Canis lupus familiaris: one gene and its partners. The protein of the gene in region 7 interacts with the protein of the main gene of each other region in a pairwise test. Links are inferred from orthologs where the notes say so. Each region holds a gene or a part of one and is shown on either strand. Other genes may lie near its edges.

Region 1 (4,229 bases), on a different chromosome or scaffold from region 7:
CCTGCATGGAGCCTGCTGCTCCCTCTGCCTGTGTCTCTGCCTCTTTATCTGTTTCTTGAATAAATAAAATCTTAAAAAAAAAAAAAAAACATTATACCATACTGGGGCAGCCCAGGGTGGCTCAGCGGTTTCGTGCCGCCTTCGGCCTGGGGTGTGATCCCAGAGCCCCGGGATCGAGTTCCATGTTGGGCTCCCTGCATGGAGCCTGCCTCTCCCTCTGCCTGTGTCTCTGGCTCTCTCTCTGGGTCTCTCATGAATAAATAAATAAAATCTTAAAAAATAAAATAAAATAAAATTCTACCATAGTATTTTAAACCATTATTGCTACAATGGAAGCTGAATAACCAAAAAAGGTGCCTGGGCGTGTTTTCCTTCCTAGGAAGAGTGGTGTGCAAGTCCTGGGTAAACCTTTCAGACTAGCTAAATGACCCCTTAATTTTTCACTGGGCTTCAGAAACTAGCTGGGGACATTTATCTGAAATGCAAGATAGCTCATGGAGCGATTAGTGCACTGCATAACACAGTAACAAATCCGGTGTGAGCTGTGATTAATTTGTTTCAAAGACTTTTCACCACCTCAGGATAACCCTGTGAGAGAAACAGATACCTTGGCCTTAGTTTTACAGGCAGGTTTCTTGGGGAACCACAGAGAATGAAGGACTTGTGCTAGTTCATCTACCAAGAGGCCGAGGAAGACTGAAAACCTGACTCCCTGGGGCATCCTAAACCACAGTGTAGACCAGGAGTGGATCAGACTCGGGCTAGATGCCCAGCTCTGTCATGTACTATGCGTGTTAGCTTGTGCAAACTACCTAACCCTTGTTAAATCCAGTTCCCATCTGTGAAACGGAGCTGATCATCCCTACTTTTTTTTTTAATATTTATTTATTTATTCATGAGAGACAGAGAAAGAGGCATAGACACAGGCGGAGGGAGAAGCAGGCTCCATGCCGGGAGCTTGACACGGGACTCGATCCTGGGACTCCAGGATCAGGCCCTGAGCTGAAGGCGGTGCCAAACCACTGAGCCACCCCGGCTGCCCCGATCATCCCTACTCTATAAAGAAAGGTGGTGTTTTTTGTTTTGTTTTTAAAGGAGATGCTGTGTGTGCTGCACAACAGGATGTGGCTATTTCTGACGCCCACCAGCTCAGGGTTTGTTCTACTCAAGAATGCATATATATGGACAAATCACTGGTCTTTCCAAGTCATAATTTCTCTATTCACAAATGAAAAAGAATCCAAATCGACTTAACACATTGCTGTCTTTTTTTTTTTTTTTTTTTAAAAGGACTAGTGTAGGGGATCCCTGGGTGGCCCGGCAGTTTAGCACCTGTTTTCAGCCCAGGGTCTGACCCTGGAGACCCAGGATCGAGTCTCACGTCGGGCTCCCTGCATGGGACCTGCTTCTCTGCCTCTCTCTCTATCTCCCTCTCTCTGTCTCTTATGAATAAATAAGTTAATAAATAATCTTAAAAAAAAAAAAAAAGACTACCGTAACAAACTCTTGCCAAGCCAACAGGTGTGTGTGCTTTTCATACCTGTGCTTCATTTACTATCTGTGGACCACGCACTGTATAGGGAAACAATATTCTCCACCATACAAGAAATCATAAAGCTGGGATGCCTGGATGGCTCAGGGGTTGAGCGTCTGCCTTGGGCCCCAGGGCATGACCCTGGGGGTCCTGGAATCCAGTCCCACATCGGGGTCCCTGCATGGAGCCTGTTTCTCCCTCTGTGTCTCTGCCTTTCTCTGTGTCTCATGAATAAATAAATAAAATATTTTTTTAAAAAAGGGAAATCATGGGCAGCCCCGGTGGCTCAGCGGTTTAGCACCACCTGCAGCCCAGGGTGTGACCCTGGGGTCCCAGGATCGAGTCCCGCATCTGGCTCCCTGCAGGGAGCCTGCTTCTCCCTCTGCCTGTGTCTCTGCCCCTCTCTCTCTCTTGTCTCTATGAATAAATAAAAAAATAAAATATCCTTTAAAAAAAAGGAAATCATAAAACTATCAAATCCACAGCTACAAAGTAAAGTCTCCTATTCCTTCAAGTCTTGCATCCCTCCGTAAGACTCCGAAAGCAGGCCCTTGGATGGGCCGCGGGAGGCTGGCCTTCCACCGGGTTCCCAGCAGCCCAGGAGGCAACAGGCACTTGGCTGGTTCGTTTCTGTGACCTCAACCCTTGCCTCTTCACAGTCCTACCTAATGAAAGCATTCCCTTTAACTTGATGATTTGGGAGCCTATACCCGTGTATAATCCGAGAAAATGCAACGTGGACATGCTATCCTGCAGAGAAAAAAAAAAAGCACCAGGCCGTAAGCTGTTCTCGAATCCAAGATCCAAGCAGCAGGTGCGGTGCGCTCCCAGCACCTGGGCTGCCTGCGGGTTATGCTGTGGGGCAGACACCACCGGCCGGCCCTCGCCAAGTCCCGAATCTGAGAAATAACGAGACATTTCGGCTTTTCGGGAAGATGCGTGATGAGACTAGAGCACCGCGCATCCGGGGGTTGGGGGGGACCCGAGGAAGATTCAGGGCCCGCAGGGGGGGGCGGAGGCAGCGGCAGGTGCGCGGACTCACCCAGCAGCAACCAGGGCTTCAGGACGGCGACCCGCAGGTCGAGGCTGAGGTCCGGCACGAATCCGCAGCTGCCCCCGCGGCCCGGCGGCCCGGCCTCCACCACGACACGCCGCGCGCCGTCCCATGTTTCTACGGTGGTCCTCCCGGTCAGCGAGGTCACCCTGGTGCATTGCTTCCGCAGGCCCTTCCGGGAGAAGGCGCGAATTTCCTGGCTGAGGGCGTGCATCCCCCGCGCCCCCGGCGCCCCGCCACCCGCTGCCGGCCAGCCCGGGCGGAACCGGAAACGGCCGGGGGAGGAGCGCGGAGTGCGCCTGCGCAGGGGCGGGGGCGTCGCCGTCGCAGTAAGGCGGCACCTGATTGGCCGCCGCCGCGCCTCGGGGCTGGCTACTTCCGGCGCCCGCCCCTGCCCCGCTGTCCGCGCTGGGCCGGCCGCCGGGCTCCTTCCGGCTGCTGTTGGCTCTGGCTCTCTTTTTACTTTTTTTGTAAGATTCTACTTATTGGTTCGTGAGGGACGCCGGGGCGCGGGCAGAGGGAGCGCAGGCGCCCTGCGGGCCGGTGATGTGATGCGGGGCTCGGTGCGGGACCCCGGGGCACGCCCTGGGCCGAAGGCGGAGCCCCCCCCCCCCGCCGAGCCCCAGGCGCCCCCAGGTCGGTCGGTGACCCCCGCGGGAGCTCCGGGCCCTCCGGGCGGGCACTGCCGGCGGAGCCGCTCCGCGTCGCTCGGACCCCGCGCAGGGGCCACGGCGGCAGGCGCGGGACGGGGCCAGGGCGCCCGGGCTCCTCCGCGGAGACCCCCGCGGGACACCCTGTCTGCGGAGCCCCTCCCCCCGCGGAGACGCCCCCGTCCTCGGAGCCCCCACCCGGGCGCGGATCCGCCCCTCCGCGGAGCGCCTCCCCCCGCGGAGCACACCCCTGGCCGCGGGGACCCCTCCCTCCACGGAGATCCCTCCTCCCCCGTCCTCGGAGCCCCCCCCAGCCCCCTCCCCCCTCCCTCCAGGGGCCCGTCCTCGGAGCCCCCTACCCCCCTAGTCCGCGGAGCCCCCTCCCCTCATCCTGGGAGCCCCCTCCCTCCACGGAGCCCCCCCGCGTAGCCGTCTCCCCAGCATGGAGCAACCCCCCCGTCCTCGGAGCCCCCCCAGCCCCCTCCCCCCTCCCTCCAGGGGCCCGTGCTCGGAGCCCCCTACCCCCCAGTCCTCGGAGCCCCCTCCCCTCATCCTGGGAGCCCCCTCCCTCCACGGAGCCCCCCCCGCGTAGCCGTCTCCCCAGCATGGAGCAACCCCCCCGTCCTCGGAGCCCCCCCAGCCCCCTCCCCCCTCCCTCCAGGGGCCCGTGCGCGGAGCCCCCTACCCCCCAGTCCGCGGAGCCCCCTCCCCTCATCCTGGGAGCCCCCTCCCTCCACGGAGCCCCCCCGCGTAGCCGTCTCCCCAGCATGGAGCAACCCCCCCGTCCTCGGAGCCCCCCCAGCCCCCTCCCCCCTCCCTCCAGGGGCCCGTGCGCGGAGCCCCCTCCCCCCCAGTCCGCGGAGCCCCCTCCCCTCATCCTGGGAGCCCCCTCCCTCCACGGAGCCCCCCCCCGCGTAGCCGTCTCCCCAGCATGGAGCAACCCCCTCGTCCTCGGAGCCCCCTCCGTCCACGGAGCCCCCCCACGGAGCCC
Region 2 (4,365 bases), on a different chromosome or scaffold from region 7:
TGTGCTAGAGCACAAGAATTCAAAAACAAAACAAAGTGTATTTTGTTATCAAGATGATCCCAGGCTATGGAGAAGGAAGGCAAACAATACAAATATGCATGAGATGTAGGGGGCAGCACAGTGGAGGGTGGAATTAAGGCTAAGTAGGACAGAACAGGTTACTGGAGGAAGAGATGTATTATCTGGGTTTCAAAGGTTGTATGAGGGCTCATTAGACAGGTGCCTAATGTGGGGAAAAGGGCATTTCAGGAAGAGGGAACAACATATACTAACATTGCATAATGAAATGACAGTCTTCATAGTAATCTGTAATTAATTTAATATAGCTAAACCATAAAATAAGTGGTGAGGTGGGGGCACTAAAAGGGATTGAGATCAGAGGAAAGGAGACCAGTAGGACAGAGGCCATAGTTCTGACAAGAGATGACGCCTTGAAACAGGGCAATGGATGGGAGACTGAAAAGGAGAGCATGCCCAAGAGCAAATTTTGCACAGTTCCACCAGGACACATATCCATCATCAGGGAAACGGATGTGATATTGTACAGCATTAAAAGTGAATGAAGTAGTGCACCTGGGTGGCTCAGCTGATTAAGCATCTGCCTTCAGCTCAGGTCATAATCCCAAGGTCCTGGGATCAAGCCCCACTCGGCAGGGAGTCTGCTCCTCCCACCACCCTCTCCCTCCTCATGGTCTGTCTGTATCAAACAGATAAATAAAATCTTTTTTTTTAGTGAATGAACTACAGCTACATAGAGGAATATTAGAAACAAAATGTTTAGCAAAAGAAAAATGTCCCAAAATGCTACCTAGAATAAGATACAAAATGTTGTGAAATTTGAAAACAAAAGTAAAAAACACTGTTTAGGCATACATGTATAAGAATATGTGTAAAAAGAGAATGGAAATAATAAATGTAAATCAAGATATTGGTTCCTTTGGGACGCAGGAAGGCAGTTGGGGAAAATATTGAGAAGTCTTAAAATATCAGTAATATCCTAGTTCTTTGGTTGGGTACCAGATTCACAGGTTTTTACCATAATTTAAATGGGTAGATGGATAGATAAGTAGTCGTTTACGGCCCCACGATGCAAATGACCAAGTATTCACCAAATATTCGCTTATTTATCTCCTCTGTACTGAGGGCTACAAGAAAGAGATATTTTGGAAGTGGGAATCAACTGGTTTTCTAACATTTTCTTTACCCTTAAATTGGTTTCAGATCAGCTCCTCCAAGGGAAGAGGCCTCACAGTGTGAGTCCCACGTGCTGTTACATCCCGCGCTTTTTGCCCTTTGCCCTTGGCCATCATCGCTTCCCCTCCAAAGGGAAGCGGGTGACGTCAAGCAGTGGAGGAAGGGGGAGGGGCAGCCCGTGGGTCTAGAGCGTTCCTATTGGTGGGGAGAAGGAGCGAGAACGAGGCTCGAGCTGAAGCGTGGAAGAGAGGGGCGAAGGGGGCGGGGCTAAGCTGGAGGCGGGGCTAAAAGAGCTTAACGGGAGCGAGGCGCAAGTGCAATTGTCCGCGCCTCGCTGCGATGGCGGCGGCGCCGAGCACAGTCACACCGCTGGCGGCGGAGTCTTCCCCTCAGGAAGCTACCGTCTCTGCCGCCTCCTCCTCCTCCTACACCGCCTGCGCGGCGGCGGCGGTGGCGGCGGCAGTGATTGTGCCTGCCTCCTCCGCCACCTCCACCCCTGCCTTCCCGCCTGCCGGTGGCTGTGGCGACGGCGGCGGCGGCTTTGGCGGCTCCACTATGGCGGCGGCGGGGAGGGGGGGCAGTAGTTTTAAAGTAGACACCCGCCCTCGCCTCAGAGAAGGTGAGTTCCCGTCCCGGGGTGTGGGGGCGGCCCCATCTCCTTCGCTGCCTCTCTTCAGCCCGTCCGAGATCGGACTGGGCGCGGTTCGCCACCGCCCCACCCCCCACCTGCTGTGGCGCAGTAAAGGCCAAGATCGCCCCGCCCCGCCCTGCCGTAGTAGCCCCGAGTGTGCAAGATGGACTGAAGCAGAGAGGGGCTTCCCTACTTCTTCCCCCACTCTCAAGGTTGGCGGTGGTCCCCAGGAAAAGGAGCTGCAGGTATTCACACGGCAGGAATTTGAAGGGAAGAAAAATACCACATAGTTTCTCTCCCAGCCAGGGTGCCTTAGTATGGTCTACGAAGCTGAGGTGTGATTTGATAAAAAGAGAGGACTTAAGGTAGAAATGGTGTGAAACTGGAGGGTCAGGAAAAGGGAAGGGGGACTGATGCAGAACGGGGGCAGAGATAGAAGAGAAAGGCCGAAGAAATAAGTAAAAGGGAGCAAACCCCCTTTGGTGAAATTCAGCATCCTGCAGTGGAAACTTGCTGTGGGATATTTAAAGAGAGAGGAGGTTAGGAAATTGGGGAGGTTAGAGTGTATACTTGAGCTTTAAAGTAGGAGCTGTTAGATTGTAGGATCATAGGGTCTGGCGGAGGGGGTTGTACTAAGAAAATAAAGGAAGAGAGTGTGGTAGAAGCACAGATTTCAGAAATCACTTTGGAGAGTTTTCTTTGGCTATTTGAGGGTGTGACCTTATAGAGCAAAGTTTAGGGGCCCATCAGTGAGATGGTTTTGATTTTAGTAAGTGCTGTTGTACCTACCAACACATACTACTCCTAACATAAAAAAGATTTCTTAACTATTTCAGTAATAAGTGGTATCTAGTTCACACGAAATACTATATACTGGTAAACAGCCTACTAATAGCAAACTGTAAAATTTGCCATTGAAATGTGTTTTAAAGCAGTGTTTGGAAATGCTTCTTATTCTTAGATTGTTGAGGCCGAGTCCACTATAGAAGATTTAAGGTAAAGCATTTTGCCATCGTAAATTTCATAATTTCCAGTATTTGTGTGTTACCTCATGTTGCTAACTTGCCTCCCAACTGAAAGACGTGAACACCAAAATGGAGTAGAACAATTTAAGTTCCTTTTTCTTAGGAGGACATCCCATTAAAATTACCCCATAAAAATGTTTTTCTCTTCACATTCTTAAATGGTACATTCCTGTGTGCTATTTCATAGCCTTTCACACCTTTCACTTTGGAGGAATGGCAAAGCAGTAAAAAAAAAATCCTTTACAGTATTTGTCATAGACACATTACATAAATGCCACTTACTAAGTATGGAAGTTAGAAATACACGGTGATATGGTGATGTCTTTTTTTTTTTATTAACTCTCTTACTAAAGGCAGCCTTTGTTTTTTTTGTTTTTTGTTTTTTTTTTTTTTAAAGGCAGCCTTTGAAAGACTATAGTGTCTTTAGTCATCCTGGATTTGTACAGTTGTTTGAGGGTGAAAATATGAAATCTGGATTTTTTTTTGTTTTTATACCAAACTATGTATGACTATAAAGAAGGAGAGAACAGTTTTTAAAAGTGGTCAAGATCACGATTCAATCTGGCTGTCATGGACTTTTCACAGTAAGGTTTAGGACCAGTATCTCATGGAACAAATAAATGGCTTTTTGCCTGTCTCTGGGACTGTCTTGGTTATAGTATCTTTGAATTTACATAGGTATTAATGGCTTTAAGAGATATAAATTCATAATGTAGCAGCAATACCCTGTATACATTATTTTTAGCTGGCAAAATGAAGAGGGCTGCAGCATAAGAGTCTGGTGCAGTGAACCTAGGTTCTGTTGTTTATCTACTAGATTTTGTAACCCTGAACAGATGATAGACTTCCTAGATTTGGGTTTTGACATTTCTGAAATAGAAGTATTGGACCAGCCAGACTCCAAGGTTGATTTCAGATCTGAAAGTATGAACCATGATTTTGTAGTTCTGCATTGATACTCTCCAGGACATTTCCATGGCTGTGCATTAGAGCAGTAATTCATAAGCCATGAGAAACTTTGACCATAGTTTTCACTTGACATTCAGTGAGTAATGAAATCTGTGTTGTTAGTGTTGAGATCATTTACTAGGATATGAAAAAACAAATATAATTGCTACCTAAAAATTATTTCCTACCATGTCATTTTAGGTAAATAACCTTCATTAACTGTTCACTCCAAACCAAAACTTTCTTACCTTTCCACTTAACAAAAGATAAATATATGATATAGTACACTGTCCAAAACATTATTAGGTCTCAAATTTTTTTAGATATTTATAAATACTATAAATGGTTGGCAGTTATATGATAGTGGATAAAGAAGAGTGAAAAATGTCACTTGATGGTGTGCCAGTATCTTTTGCCTGTTTATTTTTTAAGCCCAAGTTAGGAAATTGATCTAAACGGTGACAAAGAATTGTCAAGATTCCAGTTACTACAAGTCCACTCCAGATAGGACCATTAAAAGTGGTTTGATAAAGCATTTGCTGATCTATTTTCAACTATAGCCAGCAT
Region 3 (3,595 bases), on a different chromosome or scaffold from region 7:
TTTGCTTATAAAGCGCAGGGCATCATACTTGGCACACAGATGGTGCCTAGTGAGGAAATAAGAAGTGGACTGTAGGATGGGCTGTATCCAGGGGACCTGTTAGGGTTTTTTCCACTAGCAAACCACAGCACCTCTCAGGTGGGGGCTCAGGGTACAATCTCCTTCACACGCAAACCCCTTTCATTCTGTTAGAAATGTTTACTGCACACGCTTCCTGTCCCCCCAATCCCCCCACATCCCACCCTCTCCCCTCCCATTCCCCGGGGGCCGAGTTCTCACCAGCAGTTTCTGGTACTTGGCCTGGAGTTCGCTGTTCTCCTGCGGATAGAGCCGGGCTGCGGGTCACAGGGAGGCCGCAGGCGTGACCCCTCCTCCCCGGGGCCCAGGCCCAGGCCCAGGCCACCACCGCACGCACCTTGCCGCCGTCCTTGGCCAGGTGCGGCCCGATGGCCTTGACCTCGTTGTGGAAGATATTGTGCTGCTCCACCTGGTGATCCACCAGTGGCAGGTCCGTCCCAAAGCCCTGGCCGCTCAGCTTGTCCTGGGAGGGCGGGCGGAGAGACCATGACAGAGGGTGGGCGAGGGCCCCGAACTCGCAGCCCAGCCACCCCAAGAACCAAGGAGGGAGCCAAGGGGCCCCGGGAGAGAGGCGGGGTGGAGGGGAGACTGTCACCTTTGCCACCGTGCCCTACACGTGTCATCTCACTGAATCTCACTGTAACCTCAGAGGCCCCCACGGTTGTCATTTCCATTTCACAGATGGGGAAACAGAGGCCTGGTCGGGGGACACACAACCCGGAGACGGGCTAGCCTGCCTGGGCCCCGACAACCAGAGCTGGAGAGCATTCCCGGAGGTGCCCAGTCTCCACCACTTCGGCTGAGGGACACTGGGCCAGGCGCTACACCTCTGAGCCGTGCTCTTCTCACTGGTGCCGACGTCGGGCACCATCAGGAGTGTGACCCTCTGTGAGGCGGGACCGTGGAAGCCGTTGGATGGCGGGGTACCCCCTGCCCACAGCTGCAGCCTGGGCCGTACCAGCTTCTCATCCACCAGCGCTGCCCAGTTGACCTGTGGGTCCACCTCCTTCACCACCAGGTTGTAGATCTGCTTGTGTTTCCCCCGGAGGCTGATCACGCGCTCCTTCAGCTGACGGATGCTGAGTGGGGAGAGTGGCCATCCTGGTTGGCAGGGCTGGTTGGCAGCCCCACTGCCCACCCCCTTCCCCCGGGAGGGGCCTCCCACCCCAGACCCTGGCCCCGGGGCTTTCTGCTCAGTGGCCTGGAAGGACACGGCGACCCAGGCCTTGTCATCCAATCACTGACATCCTCCCTCGCCCTTTCTTCTCCTATCAATGTATTCCCAGGGCCTACTGTGTGCCCAGAACCATAGAAGGTTCTGGAAGAAACAAGCAGGTCCACTGCTCCCCGGAGCCCACCATGGAGCAGGAACCACAGGGGTGGCCTGGGCCAGGACAGGGATGGCGCAGAGAGGCCCTTGCCCTTGCCAGGGTGGGGAGTGCAGAAGGAGCTGGGAGGCATTTTGGGTGCCAGTTTATCCACAGCTGAGCTGAGGGGGGTGCGGTGAACACGGGAAGCTGGGAGCGGGAGAGCGTGCTCAGGAGCTGGGAGGCGGGACAGCGTGCTGGTCAGGGAGCTGTGGTCACACTGGGACCAGAACAGAGGACGTCAGTGCTGAGCCTCAGTCTCCCTGAGGAGGGAGGATAACCACACCGTTGGGCACATGCCCCTTGGTGAACCCCGCGTTGGGCTCCGGAACACTGAGCGGCCTACAGCCTTCCTGCCCTGTCCCAGGGGCCTGGCGCGGGGGGACCTACTCCTCGGCAATCATGTCTCCTTGGGGATGCTTCATGTGCTTGGCAATGGCTGCGTCCGCCTCTAGCACATACAGCAGCTTCTCTGAGTCCGACACCTTCTGCAGGGTCACGTCCCGGTGCTCGGGCTGTCGGCCCTCCTGCAGCCGGGCCAGGTCCTGAGAGAGTCAAGACAGGAAGGGGGACAGTGGATGGGGACCCGGTGGGCACTGTCGGGGTGGGAGGGGCGGGGGGAGAGGGCCAGCAAGGGGCTCCCCGGGCCCCCCTTTCTTCAACAAACAGCCCACGTACCCACTTGTGGGGGCTCTGAATGAACAGGCAAGGCTCCGCCCAGCCCGGTCAGATAAACACAGAAACCTCACGGAGGTAAATACAAGTCCATACAAGTCGGTGTTTATCAAGGAAACACACCGGAGGTGCAACAGCAGGACCTGCTTTATATCCGGGGATGAGTGAGCCTCCTCGGAGGCGGTGACATAAGCTAAGAACCAAGGATGAAAGGAAAGAGTGTTGTAGGCAGAGGAAACAGTCTGTGCAAAGGTCCTGGGGCAGGAAGGCAGGCTGGGGAGGGAGGTGGGAGACGTGCAAAGCAACGAGGCCCCATCTATCCTTAATGGCAATGCCTCAGGGCTCTAACAGGGCAAGAGCACAGCCAGGAGGGCGGCCAGCGGTGTGACAAGGCCGGGTGGGAGCTCACGGTGGCTGGTCGGGGGCGGCAGCTGCAGAAATGGTGAGAGTAGACAGAGCGGGTGGATATTTGGGAGGCACGGTCTGTGTTGCTGAAGGGACAGGGTCTCTGCTTGTTCATTCATGGGAGACAGAGAGAGAGAGAGAGAGAGAGAGGCAGAGACACAGGCAGAGGGAGACGCAGGCTCCATGCAGGGAGCCCCATGTGGGACTCGATCCCGGGTCCCCAGGATCACATCCTGGGCCAATGGCAGGCGCTAAACTGCTGAGTCACCCAGGGATCCCCCTCTGCTTGTTTAGGGAAAGACAACGAAAGGGCAAGCAGGGCAGCAAGAGTCTTATACGTCAGATACACCTAATAAACCTGCTGCAAAAGCAAAAAGAAGGGGCACCTGGGGAGCTCAGCAGTTGAGCATCTGCCTTCGGCCCAGGGGGGATCCCGGGGTCCTGGGATCGAGACCCACCTCGGGCTCCCCATAGGAGCCTACTTCTCCCTCTGCCTGTGTCTTGGCCTCTGTCTCTGTGTGTCTCTCATAAATAAATAAATAAAATCTTAAAAAAAAAAAAAAAAAAAGCAAAAAGAAGCGAATGAGGTGATGTGCTTCCTGATCCAGAATAAGGACCAGACCCCTCTGTTGGGAGAAGAGAAGGCGCTCAGCCCATCCGTTCCCCGGCCAGCTCCAGGGAGGCTGGGGGGCAGGTGGGGCCTGGCGCCCCGAGAGGCTTGGAGGGGAGGCCCGGAGTGGGGCTGGGCGCTCTCTCCACCCCGGGGTGGGGCTGGCCAGTGGAAGAAAAAAAAATACAATAAAGCCTCAGGGTTCTTGGCCTGGATGGAACATCAGCCACTCCATCATTTCCAGCTGATCTGCAGCTCTCGGGCAGTTACAGTGTCAGAGACTAATTCTGCAGGAGGGGAAGCAAAGTAATCATTACCTCATTCACGCAAACGCTGTGTGGGAACGCAAGCCCTCTCGAAACCCGCTAGCCAAAACCAGAAAGAACATCGAGCCGAGGGACGCCACGTAGGTGTTCAAGAGCTCACAGGGGCAACTCGATGGATGGCGAGAGGTCGGCAC
Region 4 (4,261 bases), on a different chromosome or scaffold from region 7:
AAATAATACCTACCACCAAAAAAACAAAAACCCAAAAAAGTTTTAAAATACATTTTTACTTACGGCTGCACGTCGGACATAAACAGGATGAGAAAGGTGCACATTATTAAGTAGAAACAAGATAGAATCCAATGTGTAGTACTCTCTGGGTTGGCCTTCTTTTCCAGTCCTGAAGTAATTAAAACAAAATTTTCCCTCAATTTTAATTCAACTCTTTGGACTTCATTATACACATGAATTTATCTATATTTGCTTTGTTACCCAAGAAAGGATTTAACATGGCTAACAAAAATACCCATAAAAGTATGAAATTTAATAAGTGGAAATGTCATTAAAGCAAAAGAACGCAAAGAAGACAGAACAAGAAGCAAGAAGGAAAGCATACCGTATTCACATTCTAAGGTACTATATACTTTTTAGAATTTGGCCCAAATTTGGTTCTATCTGGCCTTTGTCAACAGAGAGAGAAACCTTATCAGTTATAGACTGGAAAGGAGCCACAAGAGAAAACAAACTGATGAGGAGAAGGACAACTATTACCAGTGCTAAACTTACAAGAAATTTATCCTATGTCTCCTAAGTAAGTACTGCTATAAACAACATCCTTAACAACACTCTTACAGTAAACACAACTATGAATTTCAGAGGTGTGATTCTTACGACATCCCTCAAAAATTTAACCAATAGTGTAAAATCACAATGAATTGTGATAAAACAATGCAGTTTATAGGGGCAAGCTTTTTTAATGAAATCACATAATGCTATCTGTTCAACAGTATTCATGTCCAATCTCACCCTTCCTACTTAAATTCTCCTCACCTAAAAACATCATCATTTAAAGTCATCTGAATGCAGCCCAAAATAATCAGCCCCAAACTACAATTCTAGCCTGCATTGCCACTTCTTTAAACTGACATCTTTCAAACCATATTATCACTACCAATTACTGTACGATGAAATATAACATACAGGTAACCAGTTTATCTTAATGATATACGAGAGCAAAGTCACAATGTACTGCCTGCAAGAAGGGACTAACTATTGTTTACAGTTATGAGGTTGGATGTATGTACACACGCATACAGAGATGAACTTAAACGAAACGAAAATATATTTATTGGGGTGATTCACTGTTGTCAAAGCTTGAAGTCGCTCTAAGTAGTTCTTTTTCACTACTGGCTTCGTTGGACTATCAAGAAACATTTCCCTCCCAGCTCACAGGCTGTTGAGCGCACAGTTCTTCAAGACCTACCCCATCATGTCATCCTCAAGTTCTTCACCCATTCTTTAAAGCTTACTCATCTGTGCATGAAAAATGTGTAGCACGTCTACATCCCAAACACACTTCCATGAAACCTTTCCTAACACCCCAAGCTAGAAGTGGTTCCTCTCTTAAGGACCAGAGCGCATTTCTCACCAACTTCTGTTTTCTCTCATCTCCTCTTGATTAAGTTAACCTCCTTTGAGTCGGGAATCAAGGTGCTAAGAATTTTCTCTATTTCTCAGATCGAACTGCCTGCCCTACACCATTACTACTTCTTAACCACAAGGGAGGAAAAAAAAAAAAAAACAGTTAAAATTCCAATCAAATGCGATTGTCTGCGTAAATTCAAAGGACAAAACGCAGGGAACTCAGAATGATGTCACTGCATCAACATGTCATAAAGCTAATCAAACCATAAGCCCTCGAGGCCAAAAAAAAAAAAAGTAGCAACCAACAAACTACATCTTCCCTAGCTTTTCATCCACTCTTCCTTCATAAAAGCCCAAGGTTCCCCCCATTCAATCGAGCCAAACGGGTATGGAGGTTCTGGCCCAAGGTTCTAAGCATTCGAGGGAAGTACCAACGACACAGAAACATCACTACAAAGGTCCCGCACGATCATCGGACCTATTTCTGGATAATGTTGCCTCACGACTTGATATTCAGGAAACCCGGCACGGGATCAACATTCTTAAAACCTCGCTCTTCAGAGCACGTTTCCTAAAACCCCACACCACCCTCGGGCTCTCCCCGCCCCCCCCCCGTCCCCATTTCGCCCGGCAACTTTCTCCCTGAGGAAACTCCTGCCTTCCGCCCCCCGCCAAGAGGGGCTGTGAGGACTCTTCCCGAGTGACCCCATCTTTTTCCCGTTCTGACTTCTCTTTGCTCTTCCTGAGGGAAGGAATTACGGAAGGGAAAGCAACAGACCAGGAGCTGCAAGGGGCAGCAGGGATACTTACAACCACACAGGGCAGCCTCCAAGAGAGAGGAAAAAACAACAACAACAAAAACACCCAAACTGAAGAACACAACACAGCAAGGCGTCCCCAGGACCGGACGGTGTGCCCCTTTCTGCACCTACACACGTTGCTGACACTCGACCACTTACCGGCAAAAATGAACCAGAAAAGTCAGGAACTCCCCAGCTCCCTCTCCCTGTGGAGCCCCAAACACTGACACAAACGGCCCCGTCCAGGCGCACCTCCTCCTGTTCCCTCCTCACCTAAAAGTACAACTTCTTTTCCAGTGAGAAACTTTTACTCAGAGCCCCGGTTCTTTTGGGTTTTTTTGTTTTTTGTTTTTTGTTTTCCCCTCCATCCCCCCAAGGGAACCGGGGGGAGGGGTTAGGAAAGAGGTCGCCTGGGGGCGCCCCCCTCTGCCGGCCCTCCTCAGGCCACAGCCGTGCCGGACCTACCCCCAAACCACATAGTTGGTCTTCACGTTCTTGGGCCACGAGAACTCGCCGAAGATCACTTCGTCTCCCTTGACCACAATCTCCTTCTTCTGGATGTTGTACTGTCGCAGGACGCTGAGCACGTCCGCCATCTTCCCCCCCCTCGCCGCCGCCGGCCCCGGGCCAAGCCGCCGCCGCCGCCGCCGCGCCTGCCGCCTTCTTCCTCAGTCGCCTCGCCCTCCTCCTCCGCCGCCGCCGCCGCCGCCGCCGCCGCCGCCGCCGCGCACCAACAGCAGCCGCAGAAGCAGCCGTCCTCGCCTACGACAGCGGCTGGGGCAGCAGACACCCAGGCCGCCGAGGACCCCGCGCTGGAAGGCAAGGCCCCGCCGCCGGCTGCCCGCGGAGAACGCCTGACTGCGCGCCGCCAGCGCCGCCAGCGCCGCCAGCGCCGCACGGCCGCCGCCAGGGGGAGCCGCCACCGCCAGGCACACGCCCCTCCCTCCCAGACTCCCACTCGGCACCGGGCCGAATCCCGGCCCGAAACTCCGAGCGCGGGGACACCGCGCCCACGTACGGCGCACGTACGGCGAAGGCTGCCCGCGCACGCGCACGCCCCTCCCCCCGCCTCGCGACAGGTGCGCGCGCACCTGCAAGGAAGCCGCGTGCGGCTGCTGTGCCTGGGCGCGCGCTGGGCGGCCGCCGACGCACCTGGGCTCTCGGCTCGCTTCCTTGGAAGCGATGGAGCTTCGCGGACTTGCAGAGCCCTAGGGTCACCTTACCGACCAAGTGAGACCCATTAAGTGGCCTCCAGGTCTCAGTGATCAGACGAGCCCCTTTAGCAGGGGGAGGATGCTGGGGGGAGCGTTGGTTGGGCCTCAGGGTGTCCCTTCGCAGAGTGGGGAAGACCGAGCCCCCGGGAGACCAGCCCCAGTCACCTGTATCTCTTACCTGCTGTTTGACCTTGGCCAAGATAACGTTGTCACAGCATTAATTGGCTACTGGAGAAAAGGGGTTAGCACGCGAGTAAGATGAAAGGAAGCGTCTAGCAAATCATCAAAATAACATAAATGTTGGATCTTCCACTTCATTTCCTTAGATGATGACTTTTTTCCGACCTGGCCCATTCTCCCTGCCAGCCTCAAAGCGGTATGTTTAAATGGCTCTGTTCAGAGAGCCTAAGGAAAAACTTAGAAAACAGACTCCAACCTGTCAGAATTTGAACACTTTCGAATTGATTTTTTTTTTTTTTATTGGCACTCAAATGGCCATGCTGGAATCAATGAAATAAATTCAACATATAGAGCCCTTTACACCTTAAAACCTTAAACACTAAACATACGGGGCCTGTATTTTTTTTTTTTTATTATTCCCTTTACTAGAGCAGAAGGGGGGGGGGGAGGGAGAAGGCAACTTCTTTATTGTCATAACCAAAATCTTGACATGCTTTCAAAGGGATCCATTTTTATTATGTGCACTATAGAGGAATATAGAAGGGTGTGGTTCACTTCTTACACTATCTATAACCATTTTGCAAATGAATCTGAAAAATTGTGTCTATTCTGCAAGTGATCCTATCTCTGTGGTATTTTCCTGGATCTCACTGC
Region 5 (4,045 bases), on a different chromosome or scaffold from region 7:
AAGCGGCACAGGTGGCTACAATCCCAGCACAAGATCTTGCCAATCTTTCCCTTGAACTCTGTGATCTACCCTCACCAGCTTCAGAACACTCTTACCTCCTCTTTACCTGGCTGACTTCTATTGATCCTTTAGACCATAGCTTAGAGCTCTAGGAAGCCTTCCCTGACCTCCCCTCCACTTAGCATAATGCTTAGCCACAGACTCCATCTAGACTTCCTCTCTAGACTGCCAGCGCTACGAAGGCATTGCTTTCTGAGTCAAGTTCAATGCACAACACCTGGTCCATTGCAGGCATTCAAGCGGGAAGTTGAGTAAACAAAAAGTCCTTACTTACAAGGGGCCTAAATCTATCTCAGTGGATCTCGCACAAAGCTGATAACGAAAACAAGAATCTCACACCCACAGCTTATATTATACTGCAATCAGTTCAACTATGACAAAGAATCAAGAGTTTGTTTTTCTTTTTTTCTTTCTTTCTCTTATTTTCTTTAGAGAGGGAGGAAGGGGAGGGAGAGAGACAATCTATAGCAGGCTCCACACCTAGGCCAGAGTCAGACGTGGGGCTCGGTCCCAGGACCCTGAGATCATGCCCTGAGCCAAAATCTAGAGTTGGACATTTAACTGTTTGAGCCTCCCAGTCACCCCCAAAGGTTTGCTTTTCTTTCTTTTTTTTTTTTTTTTTAAGATTTTATTTATTTATTCATGAGAGATACACAGAAAGAGGCAGAGACACAGGCAGAGGGAGAAGCAGGCTCCCTGTGAGGAGCCCATTGTGGAACTCAATCATGGGACTCTGGGACCACGCCCTGAGCTGAAGGCAGACGCTCACAACCACTGAGCCACCCAGGCATCCAAAGCTTTGCTTTTCTGAAAGCTCCCTTCACTGGCTTCCCACCTTCCACTAAATTATAGGATTCAACAATCTGGCTCTCTCCTTCCTTTGGTTCAAATTATCTCTGTCCACGCTAACTTAGAAAGAGAACCCTTTGATACATGAAAAGGATTCAGATCCAGGAAAACAGAAACCCCATCTTAAAAAATCTGTGATTCTGGTCTGGCACTGAACACCAAGGCAGAAAACTATAACATTCGAGCCTATGACCGAAGCTGACCCTTTCAAGATGCAGGGCATATCCTGAAAATGAAAAATGACCCAGCCCAGCACTCACCTGCCCGGTCTCATATTTTCCATTCTGTTTTGGCACCTCAAATACACCAACCGTCTCCAAAACTTTGCCCTCTGGTCGGTTTCTGGTTAGGAAGGAAAAGAACAAGCAACTGAAAGGCTGAGGAGGTAATGGTACCTAGCCCATCAGAAAAAGCTACTAGGATACCGAGGGGCCAGGCAGTGACAGCAGAGAAAGGCCCAAGCCGTGGGGCAGGTGAAGCAGGGAAGGGTCCTGCCAAACCACCACTCCAGATCCCGTCTTTTCCTCTTTGAGATCTAGCCACAGGCCCTGCCTCGGTTTCTGTGTTATGTCTGACGGCTCCCACATCACTTTCTTCTCTCTTCACTCTCAGCATTCCTCATATCATGCCCTCGCACCCTGCTTATTTGTACCTCTTGCCTGTTTCTTTCCTGACCTCCCACAGCATTTTAACCGCCCTTCCCACCTTGCATTTCTGTTATTTGTGCCCATGTCTCATCTCCACTAGAGACCGTAGGTTCTCTGGGAGCAATGCCTGCGTCTGATGAGCCTGTGTTCCCCCTCAGAGCCAAGTGTGTAAAACATTTGTTCTAATTCCATCTCTGTCTATGCCCAGAAACTGCAGCCTTCACCCTGCCCTTGAAGGGCTTAACCATTATCACCATACGTCCTACTGCACTCCCCGCATTGCACCTAGTAGTCTTTCAATCTAGTTTTTGTTCAGATTTACATCAAATTTCCCTCGGGTCTTAAGGTGCAAATACTTATCATCCATCTTTCCCCAACACCAGTGTCTAATTTCAGCCCCCCCCAAAAAGGTCAGTTCTCTCAGTGGTCTCTCTGGACAGGGCTGCTCTTTCTAGGGGTCCTTCCAAGGTCTGCTATTCTTAGCCTTTTGGAGATGTGAACCGTATGCTCCCCCTCACTTGATCCTCCAGGCCGTCTGACCTGCCTGTCCCATCGCTAGAGGCCATGCTCACACCATCCCGTGACCTCAAGCCCCCTCCCCGGGTCACACACTAAGAACCAGTCTCCCCAAGGTCACGCTGAAACCTGGGCCCTACGCAGGGCCCTCCTAAAAGTCCTGTTTCCCACTTCGAGCATCTTTCTGAGGGAGGCCTTGTCCTAACCCGGGGCTGGGGTTCATGTCAGAGCCCTAAAGTCTAATTAAAAGGCTGCCCACTAGCAACAGCGCCCGAGATCCCCATCTGGGGAGGCAGGATTCGCTCTGGGAGGGTTACTAGCTCCCGCTCGGGGCCAGCCCGGCGTAACCCGGGGCTCTGGGCCGCGCTCCCTTCTCTGTTCCTGGCGCACGTCCCAGGCAGGGCGGGTCGGCTGCCGCCGGGACCCTCTCCCAGGTCGCACCCCAGTCACCCTCGGCCGGCCGAGCCTCCCGGCCGCCTCGCTGGCCGGAACACGCTCCCCGGGCTCCGGGGACGGGCCCCGCGCTCAGTCCCTCACCGGGACGAGAGGTGCCTCCGCGTCGTCGCTGCCGCCGCTGGCGGGAAGGCCCCAGCTCCACCTGCCACACAGAGTGGCCTCGGCCCCCGAGCCCCGGTTAGCGAGCGGGCCCACCAGCGGCTGCCCACGGCCAGGGCCCGCCGGGCCACGCAGCCCGCCATGTCCCGCGGAGCGCCCGCTCGGCGGCCGACACTGGGCCCAAGCCGCGGCCGCGGGCCTTCTGCCCCCGCCCCACACTGCCCCGCGCCGCGTCCCCGCCCCCTCGGCCCCCGGCCGGGCTCAGCCCGCCCCGCGAGCCGCAGGCTCCTTCCGGCGCGCCGTGGGCGGAAGTCCCGGCCCCGCGTCACCTGACCCTAAGTCCGGCAGACATGGCGTCCTGCCTGCGTGCGGGTGGTCGGCTGGTGCGCGCTTTGGCTCCCGGTGGGGAGCTGGAGCCAGAGCAGCTGCCCCGGAAGCTGCGTGCAGAACTTGAAGCCGTGCTGGGGGAGAAGCACAAGGACGGTGATTTTCCCAGTGGCCCCTCGCGCCTGGTTCCCTTCCGCCTGATCCGAGATCTGCATCAGTACCTGAGAGAGACGGGTGAGCCCCAGTCTCCAGCCCGGACTCACCTCCCTTTTTCCAGAGTCTTCTCCCACCTCTGGCATCGTTACGAGGGGGAAAAAAAATGCCATCACTCTCCGTCACCCGCGGAACGGTCATCTAACCAACCCAAGAGTCACCTCATAAACCGTAGGGCAATACACTCCCTTAACAGCTTCCGTGGATGGGGCTTTCTCGGGATGGCCGAGAATTTTCTTGTGCCGTTTCTGCTCTCTTGAGAGTCTCCCCTTCACTACGCAGCCCACTCCGGGCCGCCTGACCTTTGAGGAGGTCTAGTTTTAAACCAGTACCGCCGCACAAGTTCAATTTCTTAAAAGCCACATTAGAAAATGACGTAGGACAGTGAGCTTGTCCTGTTTGGGAATCTGAATTTCTTTCCATCTCAAAAGCAAGCCAAATCTGATAGGGTTTTTTATTTTTCTCTTTTTCTTGTTTTTTTTTTTTTTTCTTCCACGTAGGATGATGGAAAGCCGTATTGAAAGACCTGATCTGGGAGTAGCATCTGAGTGCTAGTCCTAGCTCTGCCACAAAGTCCTCTTGGAGAATTCATTTCTCTTCCTTGGGTCTCAGTTCCCTTAACTGTAAAGGAAGGGAATAGGACAAACTAGTTTGTAAGGTCTTTTGCCAGAGTTAACATAGCCTATCCAGAGGTACAAAGGGTAGACCACTCAACTATTAGAACTAAAACATACTTGTTGACAAAGATACTTAATTCATTACTTTGTACTATGACAAGTCTAAAGATGCTTTCCTTCTTTACTTACCTACACACAAAAACTTTGATATTTTATATCATTCAGTTCAAAGACATTCCTAAAGTCCTTTGTAACTTCATA
Region 6 (3,595 bases), on a different chromosome or scaffold from region 7:
CTCCTGCCCTGCCAGGTACCTGAGGCTTCCCTTCCCAGTTCCACTGCCTGATGTCACTGCAGGAAATCCCTCCTCCTCCGCCTAAAAGCCTGCTAACGGGGTGAAGAGCTGAGTCGGCAACCCCCAGTGGAACATCTGGAAGTTACTAAAGAAACTTTTAAAAAAAACTTCTGTCTGTTGAGGAGAGGGGGGAGCTGACCAGTTATTTGTTTAAAATACGCCTTTGGCTAGACTGGGTTGAACTGCAGACAGGATCCAGCTTGCTGGGAGGAGGTCGCCTTACTGTGTCAAAGGGTGGGGATTACATTAACTTTATGAGAAGAAACTTACTGTGAGAGCTCAGCAGTTTCTTCATCATATATTTTTTTTCTCTCAGACAGCTCATCAGGCAGATACTTCACTATCAATTCTTCCAACAGCTGTGTGACACAGTACCTCCTATCTGCTAGATACTAAAAGACAATATTATTTACATTCCAGTACTTTTCCTATGGTATAAAACAGGCAAAACAGTTGAACTGAATAGAGTAAAGCCTTTATTACATATTTATACAGTCAATTCTGAATTAAGGGGTGAGGGGGGGAACATGACAACAGATGGTGCTAAACAGGTCAACCTGTCCAGGCTGTGCTGAGACCAATAAAGGTACACGGTTGCAGTGGAAACCGTGCCCTATACAGAAGACCCTTGTCTGGCTGTGGCCACGAATCCTCTATTAGCAGCACTCAGGCCTGCCCTGCCCTCTCCCACACCAAAGGCCAACTTCTATCGGGCAGCTTCTGGGTACTTCAAACTAGCATTTTAACTGAGAAACAAAAATAAGCTAATAAAATAAAGGCAAGTGCCTTATTTAAGAAAAGCAAAACTATTCCCTTTCTTGTTCCATTTCAGTGGCAGAGTTTCCAGATAATTTTTCTTTCAGATTTTTGCTTCCCTCATCACCTACTATCAATCACTCAGACCCTCAGCGAGAGGTTGTGTCCCTCTCCATATAAAATGGTGCATTTGTACTGCTCCCTCAATACTCTGCAAAACTGCCACTCACACATTTCTGTCATTCTCTAGTAACTGCTAAAAGCCGTGCCTCTCTCCCTCCTGCTATGAGAAGCCTGCCTATCCTGCAAGGCTTGGCTACATCTTTACCTTTTTCGTGAAGTCTGCCTTAATTATCTTTCTGGCTCGCAAGAAGCCCATTTCTACCGCCTTTACCACATAAAAGGCAGTTACCACACCCTGCACCGTATTCATTACATGGACAAGGAGACATTATATTTCTGTAGATAAGTTTAAAAACTGCCTAAGGCCAGGGACCGGGTCAGAGGGTGTGTACAGGATTTTCGAACACAAAAATGACCAATATAAATTTCATAAAAGTAGTGAGGAATGACTTTTGGGAGACAATCACAAGATACAGAGAAGCCATACTTTTAAAATCTGCAGATGTAGCAAAAATAAGGGTTTGTCATTATCCAATGAAGAACAGAGGAGGAGGAGGGAATGTGGGAGGTTGGGAAACGGGTAACAGTAGTGGTTTTCAAACTTCAGCACGAATCAGGGCTTGTTAAAATGCAGATTGCTGAGCCCTAGCCCACAGAGTTTCTGATTTAGTGGCTGTGGAGTGTAGGGTCTGAGAATTTGTATTTCTAACAAGTTCCCAGGTGAAGGGGAACACATTTTGAAAACCATGGGGCTATATAATAATAATATATAATGTAATACTCTTATATTAAATTTGGGGAAATAACCACCTCTCTTACATTACTGATAGGAAATTAAATCTGTACAATATTTCTGGGGAATGTAGGCAACCCAGTAATTGGTTTTAAGAGTCTTATGAATATATGGCTTTTGGTTAATAATTCACCTTCCAGAAATTTTATCTTAAGGAAATATAGTCAAAGACACAAAGTGTAGTATATATAAAAAAAGAACAAAACAACTTACAACAGGGAAATGTTAAATCAATGAACTATTATGTTGCTATAAAAATCCTATCTTTAGAATACATTCAAATGAAAAAATGAGCAAAAGAAAATGACAAGTAGGAAAAGAGTAAAACTATAGAGCATATCAATTTGTTTTTTAAGATATATATTAGATTTTACCTACTATACAGGATATCTTTAAGACACAGGATAAGGTTATTTTTAAACAGTGTGTTAATTGTATCTTTATTTAAAGCCATCGTGTCTAATTATTAGAGAAAAAGTGTGATAAATGTGCTACAGAGTATCTAAAAACCTGGAAACACAAGAAAAACAGCATGATTGGAGTACTTCACCTGAAAACATTAAGTATATCAGCTGAAATGTAACTAACAAACTCTTTAAGAATGAGTTTATCTTGTTTCTGGACAAAATTTGTATATGGTTTAATGTTTTACATACAAGCTTATTATATATCAAATTAATAATACACATATGGTATCATATCTGTACAGAGCTGTGTTTTCTATATAGGAAATAAATACACACATTCATTTACAAAATGTCTTATCAACTTTTTATTTTTTTTGAGCAATCCTATCACCACAAGAAACAGGATCACTCTCCCTAATCAATGCCATCCTTGCAGTTGGAGCTCAGAATTATGATGCCTGGGCCTCACCTTATGGGGGGGGGGGGGGGTTCCAGTCACCCAAGCAGGATTGGTAGAATGTTGTCTTTCCATTGGTTACAGAAGGATATGCACCTGAGATCTAGCTATTTCCTTAACACATGGGCTATACAAGGGCTATGGGAAGCTCTTCTGTCCATATACCACTCTTTAGAGCTGTGCTGCCCAAATGGTAGCCACAGTCACCTCTGCCTACTTAAATGAGAATTAAAATTTAAAATACAGTTCCTCAGTCACACTAGCCACATTTCAAGTGCTTAATTACTACATGTGACTAGTGGCTACCATGCGGACAGCATAGTATAGAGCATTTCCATCAAGGCAAAAAATTCTATTAGAGTTTGTCCAGATGTTAAAGGGGGCAGAACTGGGGCCAAAATCTAGCCTATTACTGAGGAGGATGGAAGGCAGGGCAACTGGGTTTCCCCAATACTGTCATTAAAATTGAACCCATTCTACACCAGGTACTTGATCACACCAGATCTTGTTAAAAAAAAAGTACATGGGGCTTGGCCTCCAGGACCACCTAACTTTCCCCTATGCTCTCTAAATTCTTCTTTCTCCACCACTAGCATTTGGGTAATGAAACGTTATCCTTCCTGGTCACTTAGCATACATAAAGTAACTTATTCTGAACGTGGTAATCACTATTTCTATGGCCAAACAGAAATCAATGTTGCCAAGCTTAAGACCAATAAACAGATAAATATACAAATGTTTACCTCTTTTAAGCTTTCTTTGCAAAGAGGACAATATGGTGTATGATCTAAACAACGCTCAAGGCAATTCTTACAGAATGAGTGTCCACAAGGGGTTGTTACTGGCTCAAAAAACAACCTGAAACCAACCAAAATACATGTTAGTTTTCACGTTAAACTATACATTGGAAAAAGTGAATAAATAATAGACCTCTATTTGAAGAAGAAGGAGGATCTAGTGAGCAGGAGAGGAAGGAAGGGGCAGTGATAAATATAAGTA
Region 7 (3,595 bases):
TCAGTCTCTACAGGGACATCTTAGATGGTGATTACCTGAACCTACTCTCCAGAAACCAGTCACATAATATTAGGATAGATCTATCACTACACCTCAGACTGTAATCTCTTTAACAAGCCTCCCTTGGAGACTTTGGCAAGCAACTCTCTCAAATGTCCCTAGTCATGGCAAACCTCCGGAAGGACATGAATGACAGGATCTACCATCCTTGTTCGTGTCTTTCTGAAGTAGCTTTTCCTCCAGTGCTGCTAGATTTGTATCTCTCCAACCGAGGCATCAGCAAGGATGCCTCTGTGCAAGGTGGCCCGGGGTTGAAGTTGCACTCACTTGAGAAGTGGTAAGAAATGGACATGAATAGTCAATGTGCCCATACACTTGAATCCTCACATACCTATTTGTGCATTCTAGCTTAAAAGTCATCTGTGGATGTCTTTAAAAGCTTAAAATAATAGTGTGTTATGACACACTTTTAGCTGCTGAATATTGCCCCCATAAAAGATCCCTCTAAATCATTAATGTCTCGCCAAATAACGTCAATGGTATCTGAAAGCTGAGGGCTACGTACATGACTGCCCCACACACTCGTGGGTGGCGACTCATTCCAAGGTAGTCATTACTACACCAGACTGACACCTGCTTCTTGGTGATGAGAGAGTCCGAATAGTCATCTGCCATGGGGAAGATGTGCGCCCTCCGGTTCACAGTTTTAAAAACTCGATAGGTATGGTCATTTTTTTTCTCATCAATTTTCTTCTCAAAGAAACGATCATATTGAAAAGTGGAAACAGCTAAAAACCAAACAAAAGACAGGACAGTTTGACAGTTAAGAAGCATGTCTGGGCTTTGGCAAAAGACCTGGGTTCCAACCCCAGCTTGGTCACCTAGCAGCAGGGTAATTCTGGACAAATTAACGAAGTATTCATGTGGGCAAATTATAGGACATCCTCATCTTGAGACTATGAAGGTCTCAAATGAGACCGTGTATGTCAATTGCTTAGCACAGTGCCAGGGCATAGAAGGTAGGTATTCAGGGAGAGAAAACATGTTACCAACAGGATTTGTATTTACTATGGCTGAGAACACCTACCTGCATCAAGCAAGAGACATGAGTTTTAATCCTCAACTCACCATGCAATTTTGTGTTTAAGCTAATATATGTTTAAGTTAAAAATCCTCTCCTACATCAGGTAAATAACAATGAGACTTACATTTTGGCAAGTTATCTTGAAGAAGATGGGACACTCTTTCTGGTCTTTGCTTTCGCATGATATCTTGGAAGTTCCTCAGCAATCCACTTGGGTCCCCTCCATCGGCCTTCACACTAATTACACTAGGGTTCACGGAGGTTTGAGCAACCTCTGTAATGAAAGTAACAAGAAAAAAGGGAACCAACATTCTGAGTTCACAATACTTCCCAGAAATATCGTCAAAAATTAATTACTGCTTAGTTCACACACACACACACACACACACACACACACACACACACAGCAGCTGAGCATAACCAAAGCTAGTAGTAGCAACCAAGAATATGAAGCTTTGGTTCTTCCCTTTTATTTTAATGACCAATGCCTAGTGTTGTTTTGTTTTCAAAGCTACCAGACAGCTTTAATGAATATTAAGAGTCCAAAGCTTTCTAGCTGGTTATTAGCAGGTCTTCTCCACCTTCCCACTCCACCCAACCCTAATCTCAATTTTCTTCACAGAAGACAATTCTGGTCATATATATCATTTCTGCTGGTGAGGTTTTCTGGGGACTTTTGGTGCTCTGTGGATACAGCCACATCTGGAATTAAGGTTGCCTCTTAGTGACCATCGGTAAGATACACAGCTTAGGAGTCCTAAGACCATCATTTACTGCAGAAACACTATTTTTTACCTTTTATCCCACAGGATGGCAGGAAAGAAACAAAGGGCAGTTGTTAATAGCTTACGCCAACAGGGTATTTTCAGAATGAAGCAATTACTATAAAAAGTGGTCACATCCTACACACACCCCAGAAAGAAAGTCCCGCATTTTCTCAGACAGTCCTCTAACCGCCTATCTTGATGACCTTCTTCCTTGGCCCTAAAAGAGGAAGTTTTTTATACAAATACTACCCTAATAATAGCTCATACACAAATTTGAAGGATCAAAAGAACCAAAAGGACCTCTTCATTCTTCCTAATGGTTCCAGTCATGTGTTTACCTTTCCTCACAGCATGCATTTCCTGCACATCCTCCTGAAGTTCTAGACTGGCTTTGCGGAAGACACTGCTGCCCTTCTGGCTCATCTGGGCTGCCAAGAAAGGGCATTTGCTTGCAGTGCCCTGGCTTGTGGCAAGGGAGGAATGTCCAGACGGAAGCTGCGTGCCATCTGGAGTCTGCTGGGATCCGTCAGCAGTCTGTTGAACCTCGGCTTTGGCAGTTTTGTCCTCTGGGGGGTGAAATGGAAAAACTGAAGCATCAGACCTAGTTGCACAATACACAAGAAAGCCCCTTGTTTCTCTTATTGCTTCCAAGACAAACTTTTTACTTACTCTACCCCTACATATCAGGCAGAAGTTTGTTTTTATTAGGTTCTGCTAGTTGAATGGTCTTCTCATCTGCCTCACTGGAAACGATGTTCCCATGAGGAGTTAATTGGCACAATCCAGCTATCTCTCAAACCCCTATTTTTCCTTATAAATCCGCAAAAAAGTAGTATTTTCTAGTTTTAGACAGCCTAGACTTTTTGAGTTGGAGGATTTCCAGTAAATCCACCCTAAGGACACATAGCATTTTTCATGAGAGGACACACTCTTGAAGGTTAATAGAAACGTTCATACAATTTTTTCTCTGCTAATATTTTTGAAAGATTCTTGACAAAGAAGCTTGCTGTTGCTTAACATATAAACTACTGATTTACTCAACAAAAGAAATTAGGCTAAAAGTGAGGTCTTTCTATTGTTGTCTAATAGAGTTCAAATTATTACTATGTTAAGAAAAAAAAAACAAAGGGGTATCACATTCACACACCTCATCTACTTGCTCATCTAAATGCATCAAAGAAGTGCACTGACTTAACCCAGTTGGCTGGTAATTGTGCTTCGAGTCACAATGACTTCTCTTTCCCCTAGAGCAAATTCATTCACCCTTCTAGTAAAGTTTTATTCTGCATCATCCTGGAATACTGTGAGTCAGAGGCTAATCTTTCCTAACAACTTGGGTAAGATGTCTCAATACTGTTTTTTTTTTTTAATTTTATTTATTTATTCATGATAGTCACAGAGAGAGAGAGAGGCAGAGACACAGGCAGAGGGAGAAGCAGGCTCCATGCACCGGGAGCCCAACGTGGGACTCGATCCCGGGACTCCAGGATCGCGCCCGGGGCCAAAGGCAGACGCCAAACCGCTGCGCCACCCAGGGATCCCTCAATACTGTTTTTGTTAAAATCTTCTATAAAGTCAAACAATTGCTTTGAAGCTCATTTCATTCATTATAAAAGTAATATACATTCACTGTGGGAAACCTAGAATAATAGTGTTCTATTCCTCAAAACATAGCCATTGCAGGAACCTTGGTAAATTATCTTTTTTTCCCCTCTATGTACAAGTTTTAAAAAGTTTTACTTAT

The links.
Region 1: the proteins of ALAS1 (region 7) and DUSP19 interact in a two-hybrid assay, tested with the Homo sapiens proteins (3 studies listed by BioGRID and IntAct). The two-hybrid records come from large-scale screens. The link is inferred for Canis lupus familiaris from reciprocal best matches to the Homo sapiens genes ALAS1 and DUSP19.
Region 2: the proteins of ALAS1 (region 7) and ZMAT1 interact in a two-hybrid assay, tested with the Homo sapiens proteins (2 studies listed by BioGRID). The two-hybrid records come from large-scale screens. The link is inferred for Canis lupus familiaris from reciprocal best matches to the Homo sapiens genes ALAS1 and ZMAT1.
Region 3: the proteins of ALAS1 (region 7) and PPL interact in binary tests that used the Homo sapiens proteins (3 or more experiments, as listed by UniProt). The two-hybrid records come from large-scale screens. The link is inferred for Canis lupus familiaris from reciprocal best matches to the Homo sapiens genes ALAS1 and PPL.
Region 4: the proteins of ALAS1 (region 7) and CDC73 interact in a two-hybrid assay, tested with the Homo sapiens proteins (3 studies listed by BioGRID and IntAct). The two-hybrid records come from large-scale screens. The link is inferred for Canis lupus familiaris from reciprocal best matches to the Homo sapiens genes ALAS1 and CDC73.
Region 5: the proteins of ALAS1 (region 7) and POLDIP2 interact in binary tests that used the Homo sapiens proteins (3 or more experiments, as listed by UniProt). The two-hybrid records come from large-scale screens. The link is inferred for Canis lupus familiaris from reciprocal best matches to the Homo sapiens genes ALAS1 and POLDIP2.
Region 6: the proteins of ALAS1 (region 7) and LONRF1 interact in binary tests that used the Homo sapiens proteins (3 or more experiments, as listed by UniProt). The two-hybrid records come from large-scale screens. The link is inferred for Canis lupus familiaris from reciprocal best matches to the Homo sapiens genes ALAS1 and LONRF1.

What each region holds. Positions count from the first base shown.
Region 1 is NC_049257.1:26,447,193-26,451,421, reverse strand, and holds the start of DUSP19 (dual specificity protein phosphatase 19), read right to left. Parts: upstream 2,862-4,229; 5' UTR 2,803-2,861; coding exon 2,577-2,802; intron 1-2,576.
Region 2 is NC_049260.1:76,214,465-76,218,829, reverse strand, and holds the start of ZMAT1 (zinc finger matrin-type protein 1), read left to right. Parts: upstream 1-1,494; 5' UTR 1,495-1,533; coding exon 1,534-1,813; intron 1,814-1,934; exon of another isoform or gene 1,935-2,070; intron 2,071-4,365.
Region 3 is NC_049227.1:36,814,201-36,817,795, reverse strand, and holds part of PPL (periplakin), read right to left. Parts: intron 1,991-3,595; coding exon 1,836-1,990; intron 1,158-1,835; coding exon 1,037-1,157; intron 542-1,036; coding exon 416-541; intron 319-415; coding exon 280-318; intron 1-279. UniProt on the Homo sapiens protein: Component of the cornified envelope of keratinocytes. May link the cornified envelope to desmosomes and intermediate filaments. May act as a localization signal in PKB/AKT-mediated signaling.
Region 4 is NC_049259.1:6,545,138-6,549,398, forward strand, and holds the start of CDC73 (parafibromin), read right to left. Parts: upstream 2,810-4,261; coding exon 2,679-2,809; intron 170-2,678; coding exon 64-169; intron 1-63.
Region 5 is NC_049230.1:42,576,443-42,580,487, forward strand, and holds the start of POLDIP2 (polymerase delta-interacting protein 2), read right to left. Parts: upstream 2,822-4,045; 5' UTR 2,771-2,821; coding exon 2,610-2,770; intron 1,252-2,609; coding exon 1,170-1,251; intron 1-1,169. Other genes in the region: TMEM199 (transmembrane protein 199), read left to right, coding at 2,978-3,188. UniProt on the Homo sapiens protein: Involved in DNA damage tolerance by regulating translesion synthesis (TLS) of templates carrying DNA damage lesions such as 8oxoG and abasic sites.
Region 6 is NC_049237.1:37,049,381-37,052,975, forward strand, and holds part of LONRF1 (LON peptidase N-terminal domain and RING finger protein 1), read right to left. Parts: intron 3,455-3,595; coding exon 3,340-3,454; intron 453-3,339; coding exon 331-452; intron 1-330.
Region 7 is NC_049241.1:37,967,747-37,971,341, forward strand, and holds part of ALAS1 (5-aminolevulinate synthase, nonspecific, mitochondrial), read right to left. Parts: intron 2,418-3,595; coding exon 2,190-2,417; intron 1,359-2,189; coding exon 1,209-1,358; intron 789-1,208; coding exon 566-788; intron 1-565.